Oreochromis niloticus: one gene and its partner. Each later gene encodes a partner of the first gene's protein in a complex. Links are inferred from orthologs where the notes say so. Each region holds a gene or a part of one and is shown on either strand. Other genes may lie near its edges.

Region 1 (9,857 bases):
TTAATAGACTTTGGTCCCTTTGAAATTTTATTAGCCATAAAGTTGACGGTACGTTGTGCAATTTCTACAGTCGTACGGACGTGTCTTAAGTTTTTACTCCTTTTTAAACAAACAAACATGAGCCTTTTAAACAAAGGTTCATGCCTCAGCGCCCAAACAATTCAAACACCAAAGTTTATCTTTCCCTGAACTGATGCCAGCAACTACACAAGGAGAACAGGTGTCATCGTCAAACTGAGACTATATCTATAAAAACCTCACATAGTCATCAACTTCCAGCAAACACTGACCAGTGAGTTGAAGACAGTCCGGCTGCTGGTGCTCTGTCCTTTTAGCGCTCTCCCTCTTAATTTTTATGGTTCCTGCACCTTCAGGAAATGACCCTTTTATAGGGTCAACACTATAAAAGACTTGTTTGTGTGTGTGTGTGTGTGTGTGTGTGTGTGTGTGGGTATTTGTGTGGTGGGGGGATAAGTGTTCAAGTTACTACCGGTTCGTCTTTGCTGCCAAAGAAAGAGACCTGATGAGGTTAATAGTCTCCTCTTCCAATATATCACATAGCTGTGAACTCTGTGACCCTTTTTGTCAATAGGAGAACTTTTCTCTGGAGTGTGTGTGTGACTGTGTGAGTAGGTGTGTGTGGGCACCCTGTGTGTCTACACAAGCGTGCACATGCGGAAAATGGCACATACATACCTCGACATGCGTGTGGATGTCTCTCTTTAATCGAGAGCTGTGTAAACCGGTGCTCATGCTGGCTGAATGTGGTTCACCTGAATAGGATTACATAACAATGCCAGTATAAAATGGCATAATGTAGGCCTCTACTAAATCCTCATTTACTGAACAAAACGTGGGATAAAATAGTTTAAAAGAGAAAGTGCTATTTAAGGATGCATTCAATCTGGTGGTCTTGAGTTCTTCTAAACCTTAAGTACTCATCCCCCTAACGGTAAGTGTTTTGCTGCAAACTGCCAGTCATTTCTCACATTTTGGACACACTGATATGTCCATGAGCTGGAAAAAAGTGCAAACATAAAAGAAAAGAGTCTTTACAGCGAAGAAAAGACATTCACTAAATCTAAAGAATGACCAGCAGTACTATAACTTTCTTGTGGCCTGCAAGTCTATTGCAGTAAATGAAGTGCAGTAACTGTCTGAGCAATTACTGTAATGCTTCTTCTGGTGTTTTCTACTGGCTGGCAGAAGTCATAAAGTGTGGCAAATTAGCATGAAGGCATACAGAAGAAGAAAAAGGAAGAAAAAAAAAGGAGGAGGAGGTTGCTGGTGGCGGAGGAAGGTCTGGACTGAAGGTTTTTTGGACAGGTGACAAATGAGAGACTAGTGGGGTCAAATCCTCACCCCACCTCGGGCAAAACAAACCAAGCCCCAAAATACACATAATTAGACACATAAATCAACAAATAGGAACACAAATAGAGCAGCTCACACGCAGATACACATGCATGCATTTGTTAATAAAAATTCTCTGACACGCTGATCAAAGCCGGGTCACTTTTTCTGTGAGGGAAACAAGCGGAGTGGTTTACCTAAACAGCACGCTGTACAGAGGGGAGATGTTTCAGTACATAAAGTGCCGCACTATGATATAAATAGATGTACTTTTCCATGAAATTTCATAGTAATTACAGACCAGGAAGCATGGACCCTCTCAACCCCCACTGCGGCACCCACGTACCTTGAGTGAATACTAAGAAGCAACTCTGGCACAGGTCCAGTTCAGTATGTACTGTGTGAACCCCCGTGGCCCAATCAAAGGCAGTGTGCACGACCGTGAAAGGGTGATTGGGTTCGAGGTGCACAGGGAATAGTGTTTGAAGTCTTCCTTCTATCAGAGAGACAAAAAAGGGCACTTTTAATCCTGTGGGATAACTAAAGCGCCACAGGCAAAGGAGATGCGCTCATTCGCTCAATTCTTCCATGAGTACCGAGGGGGGAAAAAGAGGAAGGAGAGAGGGGGCTAACCGGGAAGAAGGTGGAGGCGGGCGTGATGAGGAATACAGAGAGATAGAGAGAGAGAGAGCTGATGATAAAAAAAACAGTAGCTGATGTAAAGAGATGAGGCAAACAGATGAGAGAGGAAGTGCTGCTCCCTAACATGACAGATTCAGCAGTAATGTCAATCATTAGCTTCTCTTGCCGCTGTGGGGCCGTCAGAAACGCACAATAAGCTCACACAATGCCTTTTTCTGGCTTGACGAGATATCAAATCCCTGCACAGTGTGTATGTGCGTGTGTGTGCGTTAGAAAGAGAATATGTATGCGTGTCAGGTGGTGCAGAGGATGAAAACCAGGGGTAAAAATATAATTTGAAGTCACTGTGTTTCCCAGAATGTACACTGAGTGTGTCAGCAATGCAGTCGAATGTGAGATTTCTTAATCAGCCGATCAGAGAGGTGACAATAACAAACCAAATACACCCTACATGTGTTTGTGAGCAGGTAACAAAAGGGAAAACAGAGACAGCGCTCATGTATTTATGAACTGCTGCTTATATTAAGCAGTTTGAAATCAAAGCAAATTTTTTACAGTGATTTCACCTGCAGTAAGACATCATCTGTGCACTGATATCCTTTTTATGAGTCACAACAATCAAGGCAAACAGGAAACTTGAAGGATATCTGAGGTTCAAAATAATGTGAATAATGTGAGAACTAAACAGCACATGTGGCCTCCTCTAACTGCATTGAAATAGAGCAATTTAGAGGACATTTCAATAGCTAACATTTGAGTTAATGGTTTTTTGTTGTTATAATGACAAAGACAGGTGGTGCTTTCCATTACAGGTGAGTGGCAGTACACACACACACACACACACACATACACACACAGATAGATAGATAGATAGATAGATAGATAGATAGATAGATAGATAGATAGATAGATAGATAGATAGATAGAGGTCTTTGTTCAGCCAGGGAGTGAAAAAAAGGATTATTTGCAGAGTGTTTCATCCGCCTTGTGCAGAATATATTACGTGTGTAAATGTTGTTGAACCCCGCGCTTCACCAGGAAAAGGTCACACACTCCCCTCGACCCTAAGTGATTCTCTGTCTTTGTGTACTCTTGGTGAAAAAAAAAACGAGCTGCGCCTATAAACTTCGCATTTAAAAGGCAAGTGCGGCCGAGGGGGGCCGCTGCATGAGGCGAACAATAGCAGCTTTTTGGACACACTTTTTCTCACTGCGATGAACAGCAGGGGAACCGGTAGAGCCTCCTATAAAAGAGCGATAGAGCACAGCTGCCAGGGTTCAAAAGTAATTTTATAAAATGTCTCAGAGGGGGCCTGCCTGTGGTTTATCTGTGGATTTATGGGAAACAATGGGAGGGCGAGCAAATTGTTAGAGGACAATAATCAGAGGGCCTCGAGATGTGATAACTCCAGAATTTAAGGCCTTTATGCAAAGGAAGACATTAAAGGATAAAGTGATGCAACTGCCAGCCAAATGCTGCATTATCATTAATAATGCACTTGACATTCAAACGGCTCTGCCATGCCTCGTCTTCTTAAAACGTTATGGGAGAAATGGAGAGTTTAACGTGACAGCAAGGAGTCCAGCAGCTAAATATGAAACACTCAGCTTCATCATCATCGTCGTCATGAAAACAAAAGTCAATCAAGCCATATTGGCGCTGTCCGTTCAGAGTGATGAGGTTCTTTGTGCTGCCAGTTATTGATTTATCAGTTTCACACATTATCCCCTCCTTTTGACAGCTGTCTAATTTTACCAGTTAGTTTCCTTTAATCTCAATCACTAAAAGTAGGGTAGGTCACCGACTGTCCGCGCAGCAGGCCTGAGCCACTTGAACCTATCCTGCTCCCCAATTACGCGCATGACGCATTTGGAGACAATATCATTGTTAGGTTGTAAACTATTACTCACGCTCAGAGGCCATAGTAATCACGGACTCCGTGGTGGCGTGGTACTCATCCTCCTCCATAAACTCATCCTGGGACGAAGCATCTCCCTGGAAGTCGTGATGGTCCAGAAGCTGCTGGAGCGGGGGCGCCTTGGGCAGCAGCTGATTGACCACCTCCCGGCTGATGTTGGGCGCCTGCTTCAGACGCAGTTTGCTCAGGATCTGGGACTTGATGGTCTCCAGTCTCAGCACTTTGCTCTGCTCCCTCCAAACACAAGCGGAACACTCGTGAGAACCGGCGTCCTCATCCAGCAGAGATAGCCCGGCATCCGTGGGCGTCTCGCTGGCAGGAGGCAGCAGCAGATTGGGCTCATCGCTCCCCGACTGTCCCAAGGAGATGAGCACCATCAAGCACAGTAAGAAGTTGTACCTCGGCATGACGATGCGTGGACAACAGAAAACGCAACTTTTCCTCCCCTTCCTTATCTTGTTTTTTACGCACTTTATTCCGTTAGATCCCGTCTCTCGAATCTGCGCCGCTCCTCGTCTTAGCCTACAAACGGCAAAGAATAAGTGACATGCATCTAATCCAATACGATCAACCCGAAGTTTCTCTTTTTGTAATATTCTTTCTTTTTCTTTTTTTTCTTTTAACAAAAAAAAAAAAAGTGCGCGCAGAGGGTGTCGGTACAAGCTCCTTTGATTGAAAGTTAAATGCCTGGTGAATGCATAGCCTGCTCACGTGCAGTATAAGCTAATTGTTGATTTCTGTACAATTTTAGTCCACGGAGGTGTGAGTATGTGCAGAGGTGTCACTGGAAAAATGTGCAAGTACGGTCAAAAAGGCGCTCTTTATATATCTCAGCTGCCCGCTGTCGTAATCCGCCTCCATTGGCTAAGATTGCAACAAAAGGCTTTTAGGTCTGTCACCAAGTCAAGAGGGACAGAGGAAGGGAGGGTGTGCGCACCGTTAAAAGAGTATAAATGTTTTTACAGTGCACAAACAATGTCTCCCATTAGAGATAACCTATAGCCCAATTAGGTTATTAGGATGATGGCAAACTGCTCACTACGCATGCTTTTGTTTTTTGTTTTTTAAAATAGGTTAAATGTTTAATGGTGCCAATTTAAAAAATAAAAATCAAAAAGAAAAAAGCTAAATGGATTTCTTGCAAATTTACCACAGTCAATCATGAAGCGTGCACATAACATTTATGGTGTACATTAATTAAACTGGTAACTCGAAGATAAGAATTATTCATGTAAGTCTGTCAGATGGTATTATGCAGATTATTTAGATATATTCTTGTAAGGCTCTTCAAAATGAATGTGAAAGTTTTCATTGAAACCGGTAAGAAAGAACAAACTCACGGTTTCCTTGAAAAATAATAGCTCCAAATTCAGAAGGGTGCATTCAAGGCTGATCATGATTTTGATAGATTATGTTTAATAACCCTACACTTCGGAGACTTTTGAGCCATTAAGCAGGAGCATGTCTGTAAGCTCTCAATTATAATGTAGATGGACTCATTAGTATACACAGACCCGTGTGAATGCCATTTGTACCTATCAGTATATGAACTAATGAGCAAGTGACGCATGTAATTATAGTGAGCTGTGGAATTTCAGTCTTTCCTGAAACATCATCCAGCGATATATAAACATGTGAGGTTGTTACTTAAATGGTGCCCAAGAACCACTGTCATATACATATTTTCATATGTATATCACTTGGGTATTTTTATAGTTCATTTTTTCTTCTTCCAAAATAGGCTAAAAGTTTCGCAGCACCACCTCTTTGAGCGATGAGCAGCCTGTGCGACCACACCGACATCTGCTGGTGAAAAACATAGTTGCGACTGCAGGACTCAAAGCTGCGTGCCTCTCTGTTCATTGGAGGCTGTGTTTTGTAAAATTCACCTTCAGGAGCTGCACTCTAAACCAGGAACCCTATTGGTTTGGTACATTTCAGCCACTACTAAAGAACTGAGGATTCTGCATTGCACCTCCAATACAACGAATGAAATTCATTGCAATTAATGCTTTACTTGGTCATCTCAAAAATTTCTACAGTACCAAAGTATGAAAGCGTCCCTTTACAACAGGCTTGGAGACATCAGACATGAAAGCATTGGTAATATATCTGGTGTTATGTTATTTTCAACTCTTTTAGTTTTTCTCTTTTTTTCAGAAAAATATATTTAACAGTTGCTCCGTTAAGACAAATCATTAGTACACTGGATCAAAAGACAAAAACTAATGAGTCCTGAAGTGATGAGACACTCATGTTCATTCTACTGCAGTTGCCACTCATCCCTCCTCTCCACGTTTGCATGTTTTTCTGTTCATGTATGCAGATAAAGTGTGAATCATTTGCATGATCAGATTTGCTGATCTAACATCTACTCAGAGCCTTAACACACTAAACCCACATACAAACACTCAAGCGCAGAAAGGCTTTGTAAAACTTCATGTAAAATGATCAGTGAGGTTTCTACATATACACAGTGAAATAGATCTGGTTTCAGTAAACCTCATGGTCTTTGCATTGATGGGTGTAAATCAAAAGGGCCGGCCTCTTTTTGAATAACAGTTATCTCTCACGCACACCAGAAAAACAGTCATTAATGAGGCAGTCATTGTTTCAACAAAGTGTCATAGCACTGAGTCTACAGTAAGCAGTCCTCACTGTTGCTACGCAGTGACAAACTACAGTTCAGAGGACAGCTCAAGGAAAAATTTAAACCTGGTTTGGAGTTTTTGCTCCAAACTGAGGGTCTGGTCCGCTGCACGAGAGCAATGTGTAGATTTTGTATTCAGTCAATCACCTTAAAGGTGAAGGAAGTTGTATGAACAATTCTATCTAACCAATGCGTAGGCTGATATATTACTACATCTGCCTACAATTATAGAAACCCTGTATCAAGATATGAGACTATGTCATGATCATCTGTGTGTAATAAACACATATATCTGGGATGAATAACAGTGTACAGCTTTTGAGTCATACACTGTGTAAATATCATCATATATTTAGGGGGTTTGAACTGTTTCCTCATTTCCTGTTGCAGTTGTTCACTTTTTTCTCCACTTCCACTTTCACCCTTTGTTTAAATTATCAGTAATACATGTTAAAAATAACAATAAGACAAAACAAAAACCTTTGCTTTGTCAGGTATTGACTGCCATCTTAAGTTCTTCAGCTGTCAAATAGTTTGGTTTGTAAAGTTGTACAAACACTTCAGTTTCAGGATCCAGTTCTTGTGGAGGTTAACTTTGTCAGAAACCAGTGTTTTCACACCATGACGGGGCAAAAGTCACTATATGTGAGTAGAGTGAAAAGACAAATAAAAGGTTAAATTGGTAGATTAATCAATAAAAGTTGCTGTAAAGGTTGAGTAGTAAGGGAGTTGGCTTATCTCTGTAAAGAATCATTGCCTTCTGTGTTCTCAGTTTGGTTCCAGTTTATCGGAATAAAAATATGTGGTGTTCAAAGTCTGTAAGTGTTAGAAATCCTTACTATTCTGAGCCAAATGACTTATGATTGATCAAGTTCATCATTTGCAATTCGTAATTAAATAAGAAAATAATAAGAATAAGAAAGCATCTTCTCTCTAAAATGAACATGGCAGCACAGTTTATGTTTGCAAAGTTGCATCTGAACAAACCTCAAGACTTCTGAAACAATGTCCTTTGGATAGACAAGACCAAAGTGTAGGTTTTGACCATAATTCAAAGCATCACATTTGCAGAAAGCCAAACACAGCATATTTGCACAAACACCTCATACCAGCTGTCAAGCATGGTGTTGGAGGGGTAATGATTTGGGCTTGTTTTGCAGCTAAAAGATATTTGCAGTCACTGAGTCGATCATGAACTATTCTTTATACCAAAGTATACTCAAATGTGAGGCCACATGTCCAACAGCTAAAGCTTGGCCCAATGTGGGTAATGCAACAGGACAATAATCCCAAGCACAGAAGCAGTAAATGGCTTTGGTGAGATCTTAAGAGACATTAAGATAAATGAAATGAACTGAAGCAACAACGTAACGACAATGATGTGAGACCGATAAAATCATACAAAAAAATATTACTTCAAGTCACTGTTTCTAAAAGTTGCTCTACAAGCTACTGAATAAAAGGGATTTCTTATTTTTTTCACAGGAAAAGTCCTGTTAAACCTCACTTTCCATTGTTCTGGCCACGTTTGTAAAAGTACCTATAGCTTTACTAAAAAACGGCAGGCTTTTTTCACTGATTAATTCCAGCCATGCACCAGAATGCTCTCCCTTAACTTTACAACAAACCAAGTCTATTTGAACCTCCCCACAGCCACAAACGTGACCCATGTCTCCCGAAAAAGACGGATATTTGACTGTTCAGAGAGAGTGGGCGGAGCGAGGGCGGCGCTAAACACGGTTTGGTCCCTGCGGCTTTCCGTAGATCAGGGCCTGGGTGTAGCTCCCTGTAGCTGCGTAGGAAGCAGGTACAAAACACCACTTCAGCCAGAGAGCCCGGAGGTGTCTCTTATATAAAGAAAAACGTAATATAACGCGTACAACATGCACTCGGTCACGCTGGACAGCAGTGGTTCACCGAAGAAGCGCTCATTTTCTCGGGGAATGAGCGAGGACGAGTCTCTGCGCAGTATTATCAAAGAGGTGAGCGGACAGAAATCACGGCGTCGTTAACGTCACAGCTGTTTTAAATAACCGAATTAGTTTGGTGTCTTTAATTTGTTCAACACTTAAAATAAACAAACGGCTAGGGTAAACGAAGCACTCGTCAGGCCCGTCGCTTCATTTCACTTCCTCAGCGTTAGCGCTGTTAGCTGTTCGTTGTTTTGTTGTTTTGTTGTTGTGGCTCATGATGATGATGATGATGATGGTGATGCTCAGACTCCGCCTGAGATGTGTTTTCGTCTTGTCATCAGACTGACAGCTCGTCCAGACGTGTGACAAGAAGCGACAGCAGAGCGAGCATCCTGAAGAGGAGGAGTGACAGCCAGGTAGGAGCTAGCATAAAAACTGACACTCGCTGCGCTGAACTCATTGTTGTCTCAGTGTTACAGCATTGTATATGTGACGGACACGCAGTGCTACCTAATGCCTCTGGGATGAGACGCTTGCATAGGCCGAGAGTCTAAAGGTTTTGTATCTTGTGACACAGAGTGATGTCGAGTTATGGTCAGTCGTGCCAAAAAGTGGATGGATATATAGATATATACTTTATAGATCCACAAGAAAAATGATTATGCTACAGCAGCAAGATGAAGAATAAAAATAGTACAGCCTACAATATTTAACAAAGTTAAAGTGCCACAGGGGTCTAGTAAAGACCTTATACTATGAGAGAATGGAAAAACTTTCTCTCATAGTATAACAACAACAACAAATTAAAGTAAATATGAAGACAGTTAAAAATAGTAAAAGTAAGACTGGCATTGTGGAAGAGTAATGCAAACTTCATTAGTACATAATATGTATGCTATAAGTGCATGAAGGTACAATAGAAATATGTGTAGAATCACATGTCTGACAGGTGTGATCACCTGTCACAGAACGAGGAGTTATTATACAGCTTTATAGAGAATGACGAGAATGATTTCCTGAGTTGTTTATGGCAGTGAGAAGGAGCTCTGCTGCCTCAGAAGTGTGGAGCAGAGTGGGTGTGATGGGATGTCCATGACAGAGAGCAGTTTGTTCACTGACCTCCGGTCTCTCACTGACTCAAACGCCTCCAAATTCTGGCCAATGATGGGTCCAGGCTTGAGGATTAGTTTGTGGGTCCTGCTGACATCTCTGGCACTGGTGCTGCCCCCCCCAGCAGTCAAGAGGATTTATAAAGAAAATGAAATTATGTCTTTAAACAGCTGTTGCAGTTACAGCTGTAAATATCTGGGTCCTTCTTTGTAGTCAGGAGAGAAATGTTTGAAATGAAAACCGTGTGAGTGCCAGTAATGACGGGGGCAGG
Region 2 (10,461 bases), on another chromosome or scaffold:
AGAGATTTACATTGGACACATAAAAAAGCACACAAGCAAGCACAAGGGCAACGATACATGAAAACACAGGTAGTCCCTCATTAATCCAAAAGGATTTTTGATACACAACACAATCACTGGAAGCGGCATGAATGAGTTAGCTAATAAACGTTTTTCTGATGATGGGATGGGAATTAAGGGAGCGTGGATCTACAAGCTTATGCTCAATCTGCACACTGTAAATTATGACTTTTAGCCCATGAGGTGATCATAAAGTTGGTCCCTTGGACTTCATTGCAAACCTTAATCATATTATATTAAGCCAGTTAGGAAAAACAAACAAACAATCTTCTAAATAGAAATTTGGAATGTCAATTTGAAACTACCTCAAAGCTGTTGTTAAATTTAGTATTTTGTCTGAAGATTTGTGGGTTTATAAATGGCTCACACTGGTCTATGACAGGCAGTTTACATGAATCTCAGTGTACAAATCCATCATTGTTATCAATGGTACCAATGTTACAATCACCTTATGCACGTCATACATATTCTTTCTTTTTTACCGACGTGTTGGCGGTGTGGTTTATGTCACAAGAGGCAGTGCATTTTGAATCAATTGATTATAGCCAAAAATTTAAAAAAAAAAAATAGACCATTTCCAGGAAATTAACAATGTGACCATGGAATTTACAAGCTGTAAAGATGTGGACATTAAACCATTAATGATTGAAAAAATACTGCATGGGATTTAAGGCAACCTGCTCCCGCAGGTCACTAGCACGACCATAGACACACCTATTTTTTCAGAAAGTATAGATCCACTGCAAACAGTTTGCTGATATAAGTTTTTCGCGCATCTTTCTGTTAGCAGGATTTGCAGAATTGGGAAAACGTGAAAACAAAACGAAAATTAAACAAAAAAACAACACGAGAACAAAAGCCAGCGACGAGGACAATGTCATGCAAGTTCTTCCATTCCCCAAGTCTTTTCTGCTTGCTTAAGATGTGGTTGGTGATGTGGCCGGGATGGGAGCTCAGGGAAAATCAGGGTAGGTGGTAGGTGGGGGGCAATTTCACGGGAGGTTTTTGTTGGGAAAGCAACATAGAATATTGTCTTTTGCTCAGAGAAGGAGGGGACGATTTTGTTTCTTTCTTTTCTTTTTATATTTTGCTTTTGTAATTTACTTACAGTTGCAAGATCCTAAGTGTTTGACTTCAAGCAGCACCCCCATTGAGCAAGCAGCTTGCTTCATGGCACATTCACTGGGATATGTGGTGTTGTCGCTGGCACACACCGCCTCATCTGTCCTACTCTCCGGACAGGACTCATCGCACAATGAGCAACGGCCTCGGCCCATCCGAGCATCCCACAGACACTTCTTCCCCGCGCTGCACTGGATATCCTCACATGACTTGGCCTCTGGAAGAAGAGAAAAGGAAATAAGGAGAGAGGAAATCTTTGATTAGATGAATTATCATGAATGTTTTTCAAGCAGGATCAGATGACTACCTAGTTTTTTAGAGAATTAGAGAGAATAAAAACTAAATCCTGCTTTACAGGATAAGGCCTCGTGGTGTGGAACAGAAATCTTTGTTTTTAATTAGCCTTTTAAAGACTACAAGACTGAAATTGACTACTATCTGTGTAAGAATCAATCTGACTCAAAACTTGAAGCATGTCTTCATGGCCCCCAGCACTCCCCTGTTTTCCTCCATCTCCCTCCCCCTCTCATTCCCTCTTTCCCAAATGGGAAAGTGCTGCCAACATCAGGAAATAATAAGATGTCTATCATTTCTTGAGCAAACACAAGCAACTACCAAACACACATTCTCTCTAAGACCCCCTCCTCACTGGAATGTTGGCAAAAATGAGCAGTGAATTACTGCAGAGCTGGCCAGAAAGAAAATGCACTCAAACAGTTTTCAGAGTCGGTGACTGCTGCACCTCTCTCTCTCTCTCTCTCTCTCTCTCTCTCTCTCTCTCTCTCTCGGGGAGTAAAGTCTCACGCTTTCATGCGTGTAGCTGCAGACTTACTGATGCATTTTCCCTCATATGCCACTCCAATAGACCTGCCGAGGAGACAGGTAGCTCTTCTCAGGTGACACGCGCTGGCATAGATGATCCCATCGTTTCCACACAGGTATTGCTCGGGCGACGTCACCTCGGGGCAAATCCGATTACACGTCACACAATACGCGTTGTTGGTCTGGTCTACGACGCATGTGGAGCTGCCGGGGCACAAGACGTCACGGCACGTTTCTGGCGAGACAAAGACATTGGGAGAGTTGTGTGAAAATGACACGAAATGCAAGAAATACAAGAAAGCGACGGATTCTTTCGGGCTCGCTCGGCTTTCAGAAATGTGGTGACAGTTACATTTACTTACTCTTGCATTTGCCCTGGTACTGTACGTCCAGATCGGGGTGACCTTTGCATTTAGCTTTCAGCAGTGCGCATTCGTCTTTGTAGGTCTTTCCATCGGAGCCGCAGACAGGTCCTTTCCAGGTGATGTTGGAGCAGTCTGGTGCGCACACGCAGCGCGGCTTGCTTCTTCGGTTCAACTTGCACCTCTTTCCGGGCCCACAGTCAACATTGTCGCAGGTTTCTAAAACAAAAGCACTGTGTTATGTGATGCTAATGAGGATTTTTCCCCCTGGTGTGTATTCTGGCGCGTAAAGTAATGGGACAATTACGCAAACCAGAACACCAGTTTAATTCATTAACCAAAATGAGTGATTACATGTAATGTGAGAAAACGAAGGGAAATGAGTGCACCTCCACCTTTGCAAGGTATGCAATTGGGAGCTCCGCCATTGAAGATCATCCACCTAAAGAGCGTGCTGTTGGGGACGTCCTCCTCGGTCCAGGACGTCCCCAGTCTTCCACTCCGACAGCACTCCTCCCTGCTCATCCCGGGCATGTAGAGCACCTGGCACCTCCCGTTTTTCCCCTGCTGCAACCAACAGTTCCCAGCTGTAGACGAAAAACAAAAAAGCTCGAATGCCGCATGTTGGACGTCTAAAAACCCGCTGACCCAGACTCAATATACACACGCAGCCGTATTATCCGAGACGCTCCCTCCCTCCCTTTTCGCCCTCCCGACAGTATTTTGTCTGATTTTTTTTGCGAGACTGTTAACACTTGCCTATCCCAACTGTGACTGACAGCCCTTACAATGCAGCCATAACCAAAAAAGTAAGAAGAATCTTCGGAGGGGGGTTGTCTTTTATTCCCAGTGTCTGCTTGCTATCACTGGACAGAAACGGGAGCGTCTAGACAGCGTTAAATAGCAGCCAATCTTTCTCCTTTAGAAAACCACGGTCTTTAGGTAACAAGGCTACACACACCACCGTCTCCAACGCCTCACTCACTATGTTATCCCAGACAGCAACCAGACAATGACTTACTTATTAACAAAGCAATGTAAAGTTTATTTCAGAGATATTAAAATGTAAAACAGAACAGTTTTTCCAGTTCCATGCCAAAAAATATTACTTCCTCCAGACAGTAACAGCATGTTTAAACCGACAAAGACACAAATACATTTTTTTAATCTTCATGAGATAGTGTGTTTCTTATGCTGAATTGAAATATGTCCCCCCGAAACCATGAATGATGGGTGCAAAAGCCTGCATAGTCAAAAACCTGCATAGGTATAAAACTGCAACTGTTTTTGCACACAATACAGAAAAGCTACTTGCGGGATGTATAAATAACGCGCTCACAGTGGATATTCTGAAGTTTGTTGGAGCATTGACAACAACATCGCGGAATGCTAAACGCTCACACAGTTGCAAAAATATGTTCAGGTATTGTGAAAGACTGTCCCCAACACGGCGTGGCGGCTGTAGTGTGCGCGCCTGGTGACGACTGCAAAACTTGCCATATAATATCACTTTGAAGTGTCCCACAGGGCACCTGTTTTCTATACGCTTTACGCAAGCACTGCCTGATGTAGAAAGACTTTTATCAAGAAACTTTGAAAAGTTTCTCGGTGGCAGCAAGTGGAAGACACCCCGCGGGTTCTGTGACTGACAGCAGTGCACGTTTTAAAAAAAGAAAAAAAAGCGAAAGAGAATAAAAGGAAATTGATAAGGAGAGCTTACCTTGAACTTTTTGATGTTCCATGAGGTGACAAAGCCATAAGAACAAGAGAAAAATGCCCGGGTGAAGGTGGTGTTTCAGCATCCCAAACATGATGGAGAGGCAAAGTGAACCACGTATTTGACACAGGCAGCGCAAAAGTAATCTGCTTAAGGTGGCAGTGTTGAATAAGTGTCAGTCTGAGAATGCAGCCTCTCTTTAAATCTATAAGGGGTCTCGGGTTGACTGTCTCTGGTGGGCGGTCTCCTCTTCTATGGGGGTGGGGAAATTTTTTTTCCTTCCTTACCAAACTTCTTTCAATCCCAATCAGGTGACATCGTTACTAGCAACTTTCTCTTTGCCGCAATAATTAAAGGATATGAAAATACTTGAAAGAAAACACCATACTTGGAGCTCAGGCAGCTCTGCAGAGAAAGAAAGCGCAAGATGGAAAAAAGTATCAGCTGATATGAAAATTTGTTGTTGTTTTGAAATCAACACTGTTCCCGAAGTTTAATTTCAACCCGTTTGATACTTCTATCACATCATTTATCACTTTCACGTGACTCGCGTGGAAGAATGAGCACTCATGGGCTTTGCATCCTCTATACACATGGCGTGGATATGTGCTCTTTAATAATAATAATAATAATGATAATAATAATAATAATAATAATAATAATAATAATAATGATGATGATGATGATGATGATGAACAGACAGGCCCACTGCCAGCATGCCTTTCCAGGCATACCATCAGTGCTTCAAATTAAGATTACTATTTGGTGGTAACTGATTTTTTTTTTTTTTCCACCAACTGCAGACAAAAGAGCAAATCTTTTTGATGTGAGTTGCCTTTTGGAACACATCCGAGCCCAGACAATAATAGAATTCGTAGTAGTCCGCAGCCGCACTGCTAATGTTAGAACAGACAGTTGTTTGGGTTTCTCTCCCGGGTCAAGCTTTTAAATATAATCAAACCTGTTTCCGAAGAGGCTTCAGACAGAGAAGCAGGGTGTTGCGTTTCATTGAATGAAACACACACACACACACACACACACACACACACACACACACACACACACTGCTCTCCGCTCACAGACGCTGAACTCCTTCAGAAGTCCTTGCGCGACCTCTTCAGCGGAATTCTGGTTACAGCTCTCCAGAGCAAAGTGTCTGCTGTGCGAACCAGACACCAGGAAATTAATTAACTGACGGTCAGGTAGAAGACACTGTGATCTCTTTGTCTGTATCCAGTTAAATACCACTCACTGTACAGTTTATCTCCATGATACTAATATCTGGTATCAAATCTATATTTATGTAAGATTTTAATATAGACCAGGATGTGTGTGTGTGTTGTGTGTGTGTGTGTGTGTGTGTGTGTGTGTGGGAGAGGGGGGTGTGGGGGGGGGGGGCTTTTCTCTTAAAAAAGACGTCAACCGTTACCTATGTGATCACTCCTATTACAGACAGATCATTACTGTTATAAGCAATGAACAATATTAATGTTATTACATTTTTTTTAGGATTAGAAGTAATAAAAGGTAGCTCAAAAGGGGGTTTCCACGATAGCATACACAGGACTCATAAAAAACGAATGAACACACAGTCCTAATGTGTGAGACAACATGCTTTTTCTGACTGCTTGATTTTCAGTGCAAAACAAGTTTTTAACACAAACCCCCCATAAAAGACCTTGCAATCGTCTTAATTTCCTTCAATCAACAAAAATGGTTCTGATACAGCAAATATGAGACCAGAACAAATATTTTGACCATTTTCTGCAGTCCTTATCAGCTAATTTGATCCTCTGGTGGCAAATATTTGTATATTTTTAATCTCATTTTAACCCTTCTGCAGAAAATTGTTATCAGAATGATTTATAGCTTGTGTTAACTGTTATCAGAGCAATCACCGAAGCTTTATGCAGTTTTGCATATTTGGATAAAGACTGAACATTTAAGCCAAGCTTTTTTAGAAACATCGTTAAGTAATTAAGGTCCCTATAATCAAATATGTATAATCTGTTTGAAGGACACTTTTCTGCATCATGTGTAAATGCCACAGATGATTTATGATTTTATCAAGAGACTAAAGTATCTGGTTATAAAATCTTGTGTGGGTGATCAGGAAACTGACTTTTGATAGCAAAATGAACAAATGTGCCAAATAAAGGTTATTTATAGATTATATATTACTTGTTTGGGAACTTTTAATTGATATTTGAGACAATTCTTCATTTCAACAAATCAAGAAAACATTCATTTGATCTTAAGTTATGTTCAACAAATCATTCAGTGTCTGGTGTGAATGATTTGTGAGATCAGTGTCTTTGAAGAGCTGAAGTTTCCAAAACACTTCCCAACATGCAAGCCCTCTTCTGTCCTGCTGTATCAACTTTAAAGTGCTGGCTCTGGTCCTGAAGCCATTAATGGCATAAGCAAAGGGACAAGCAGGGCTCAGGCTCTGAGCTGAATTTGGTTCAAACAGGCCCATGAAGCAAATGATTAGTACTGACTGGAATGTTTTGCCACTCTTTGCCAGTATAATAAAGTATAATAAATATACTTGAGTATAATAAAATCCTGATTAGCTCCATGAACTTCTGATATCATGGAGGGCATCCATTTTCATTTGAACAAGCATATTTGTGATAAAATCCCAAAAGATTAGGCTCCAATACCGCATGCATCTGTATCTACAAAAACATCTATAATCTACCTTGAGCATTTGTGCAGAAAAGATGAAGTTTTCTATTGTTTAAAGATAGAAATGGAAAAAACCAAAACAACCAGCAGCTTGGTTTCACAATGCAGAGTTTATAGTTGAAATGCAGGTAGCGCTCAAGAGTTTCACAAAGTGCAAAAAAGACCAACAGTTATTAAATCATTTGCTACGACTTGCTGATATACAAGAATGCTGCAGGAATCTGTGAGTAATCATTCCTTTATGATATAACTCATTTATTTGGCTGGAACCGCCAATCACCTGCAGGAGACACTAGAGAAATTAATTTACAAAAGGTATACAAACACTTTCACTGTATCTCATTTCATCAACTCTTTCCACATTGCTCCCTGTACACATATAGACAGAATCCACAGGCTGTTTCACAACACCGCAGCCCATGAGTAATCGTGAAACAGAGTAGTTGAGTCATTTATCAAATTCTATATATTCTCTCCAACAAGAAGACTCGAGCCTAAACTCACAAAAAATATGCTGCTTATTAGAGAGAAATAGCATATTCCATTGAGCCAGATCCAACAAAATGTACATTAAAGACTCTGCTGGGTACTGGCGTTGGCTTGCTGCAAAGGAAAACATTCAGAAACACATTCCTAAACAGTCAAGGGAGAGACTAACCTAACGGTGGGAGAACCTGACAGTCAAAAATGTGAGAGGGAATTAATTGAGTTTGAGGGGAAACTCAGTTGTACTGGAGCGGTCCAAGTAGGGTTCCCAGCAGGGTCAGAGGAGGGGAGAGCAGAGGAGAGAAGAGGAGAGGAGCGGGGTGATGGAAAACAAAATAGCTATAGCTATAACTCCTTAATTGTGATATACAATTCAATAAGAATGTGGGGCATCCAAATCATCAACTGAGTAATGAAAAAACAAACAAACCAGACTAGAACATTGCCAACACGTCATTTGTAACATGCTGCCATCTTGTGGTAAAGTAGTGCCAGTACATGTTTGGCTCCTCATTCAATCTTTTCTGTAACATGGGTGTTGGCTGCGTGTGAAATATTCTGCCTTCTTTGCTTTTTGTTGTTAATTTTTGGGGATTTTGATGCTGTGTGCTGGCAGAAAAAGGACATCCAGTTTTTGACATCACCATCTATGGTCTGGCTATACATTTGTTATCTGAAATTAAATATGGAAACCATTCTTTGATTCACAGACAAAATAAATAGACACATTTATGTATAAATTGTCAGCCTTAAGCAATTTTCTACCAAACTCGTCATACCTGAATAACTGTGATATTACTGGGATTTTACAAATATCATCAATAACAATACAAATACACAAATATATATCCCATTGACCCATGTTGTCAACAACATTTCCATATATAAACACAAATATGGAACCCCATGATTTGATTCTAAAGTATATACAGTACTAACACAGTAATTACAAATTTCACTCACTTTGCATTATAAGTATTGTATCTGTTTTGCATATAAGCTCCTGATATCACTAGTCCTATTACAAAAAACAGTCCTGAGTGGCAGAGATGACAGTAGATCTCAAGCTAATTTGTACTACAGAGTTACTGCCTTCTTTAAAAAGTTCAATGTTTTGACAAATGTGCTACATTCACAAGTATTCTAATTGAAAGAGTGATGACTGAAATTCATCAAAACAAACAGTAATGCATAAAAGTGATGCTTTTACAGTGTAAAACTCAAGAGGGCAACAATTCAAAGATTTTAGCAAAGGCTTCAAAATCACTGCAGTACAAAAGGGTGCCAGTGTTAGCAAAAAATACAGTTTTGAACCTATACATTTCAAAGTCAGTGCAAATACTCCACAAAGAGTAAAGACTGATAATAATTCTCTGTAAAGTGTGCAAAGCATTGAATCCCAGTAACACTGACGCTCCAGTTTCCAGTAAAATGCCAGCTTCCAGTGGCGGAGCTGCAGTCTATTCACACTTTACAAGAACTAATGAGAAGTACCAGAAGAAAGAGAAAGCTGTGGGTTTTCTCTTCACAGCACCTCATCGCCCTGCGGGTTGTGCTGTGCATCTTCCGTCTGAAGCTGCTGATACTTTCTTTTGAAAAATCCAAACTAGAAAGAAAAGTGTGACAGAAAAAGTGAACCAAGAATACTTCCACAGACTTTTACAAGACCAGTTACCAGTTTTAACTGTTTTCTTTCTTATATCCCTGTGCTATGTAGCATATTGGTGAGGAATTCTTGGAATCACTAAACTGAAAGCTGCAGATTTCTTTGAAATCATCCGTATCTGTTCATGGCGGGAGGGGGCGGCAAAGATCAAATGCTCATTTTACAAATGTACATCATCCTAAGTTTTACATATCCTACTGTTGTTCCTCTACATCTTAACAAAAGCAAACAAACAAACAAAAACATACCTTCCACAGCAGCGCAACAGCCAGAGCCAACAGCAACAGTCCAGCTATGACGCTGCCAACTATGACGCCAACTGGAACATCAGCCGTCTCTCCGGGTTTGCTGACTCTCAACCCAAGCTGGAGAGCAAGAGAACAGGAGACATCATTGCCTTGTCTGTCTCCATCAAATCCAGGCGTAATAGTTTAAAATAAAACCAGAAATTGCATGATTAACAATATAAGCAAAAATAAATGAATAAAACATTCTTACATAAGAGCACTCATGTGCTTTACACTGCTCTTTGCATACAAAATTGTGAAAATGATCAGGACAATTGAGTATGCTCATCAGCTGAAGTAACTGTGCTGCTCTTTTAAGCAAACAGCATCATGTTAGTCAGATTTAAGCAGTAAAGTAACAAACTGAAATATAATCTTACAGTCAGCTGTTTGTTTTTGATAATGAGCAGATCAGGTTTGTCGGTCTTCACTTCCAAACTGGAGGTCAGCTCAACGGTCTGATAGGTGGCCTAACATAAAAAAAAATTACACGAATTATGTTAATGTAACTGATTAATTCCACAATTAATAACTTAAGAAACGTAACGATAATAAAAGCAGACCAACTTTCTAAAATCGATATGAAGATATTTACCGAAATAAAAGTGCTGTTCCAGATCCTCGTTTTAACGTTCACAAAGTAGGTGCTCTTAACTTTAGTGTCTTTGAGGATGCACTTTATAGATTCACAGTTTGCACTCTTGCAGTCCTGTTAGTTTAAAAAAACATCAGGAAACAACACTCAGTATTAGTAAAAAAAAGAAAAGCAATGTGATATTATTTAAGGTGCATATACTGTAAGGTTATATGTAAAAAAAGAAAAAATGAATAGCTTTATTATTCATGTAGGAAATACAAAACTATAGAAGTAGTGCATCAAAACAATCATTTTTTGCATACAAACTATTTTCTTACCATATTATGCGTCAAAAGATTTCTGTGCATTATGTGCACATGTGCAGATTTAGAATTGTGCATAACTTCCTGCTACAAGCAACAGTTTTGTAAATATTTCACTGACCAGCTTCTCCATTCCTCTGAAGCTCTCCGCAGAGAAGGACACAGTCTGAGCGTTCTCACCGATCTTCAGAGGGTTGACTAGATTGTGTTCACAGCTGACTGAACCTCCCTGCAGAAGGAGGAGAAGCGCTCTGTCATTTACTGTATGGATATAACACTTGAATGCAGTAAAAGTTGAAGAAATTGTACGCAGCCTGATAGTTAAAAACAAATTTGGGAGTAAAACTT

Evidence for each region.
Region 2: the proteins of gdf11 (region 1) and fsta are in contact, whole or in part, in a crystal structure (PDB 5JHW), measured with the Homo sapiens proteins. The link is inferred for Oreochromis niloticus from reciprocal best matches to the Homo sapiens genes GDF11 and FST. Residues at the interface, in NP_005802.1 of Homo sapiens: Asn299, Leu300, Gly301, Leu302, Glu310, Arg312, Asp328, Trp329, Ile331, Ala332, Lys334, Arg335, Tyr336, Lys337, Tyr347, Met348, Phe349, Met350, Pro354, His357, Gln361, Ile380, Asn381, Leu383, Phe385, Asp387, Lys388, Gln389, Gln390, Ile391; in NP_037541.1 of Homo sapiens: Leu34, Arg35, Gln43, Val44, Leu45, Tyr46, Lys47, Thr48, Arg60, Ser62, Asp72, Asn73, Leu75, Phe76, Met79, Ile80, Leu134, Asp135, Arg149, Gln153, Pro154, Glu155, Val180, Val181, Asp182, Gln183, Tyr188, Val190, Thr191, Asn193.

The regions. Positions count from the first base shown.
Region 1 is NC_031970.2:24,548,279-24,558,135, reverse strand, and holds the start of gdf11 (growth/differentiation factor 11), read right to left. Parts: upstream 4,796-9,857; 5' UTR 4,321-4,795; coding exon 3,906-4,320; intron 1-3,905. Other genes in the region: si:ch1073-456m8.1 (leucine-rich repeat flightless-interacting protein 1), read left to right, coding at 8,447-8,545, 8,818-8,892. UniProt on the Homo sapiens protein: Secreted signal that acts globally to regulate anterior/posterior axial patterning during development. May play critical roles in patterning both mesodermal and neural tissues. It is required for proper vertebral patterning and orofacial development.
Region 2 is NC_031977.2:26,387,182-26,397,642, reverse strand, and holds the start of fsta (follistatin-A), read right to left. Parts: upstream 4,291-10,461; 5' UTR 4,178-4,290; coding exon 4,087-4,177; intron 2,954-4,086; coding exon 2,756-2,953; intron 2,586-2,755; coding exon 2,367-2,585; intron 2,240-2,366; coding exon 2,015-2,239; intron 1,400-2,014; coding exon 1,169-1,399; intron 1-1,168. Other genes in the region: itga2.2 (integrin alpha-2), read right to left, coding at 8,786-8,866, 9,175-9,291, 9,594-9,683, 9,809-9,922, 10,235-10,342. UniProt on the Homo sapiens protein: Multifunctional regulatory protein whose primary function is to antagonize members of the transforming growth factor beta (TGF-beta) superfamily including activin, myostatin, GDF11 or bone morphogenetic proteins (BMPs).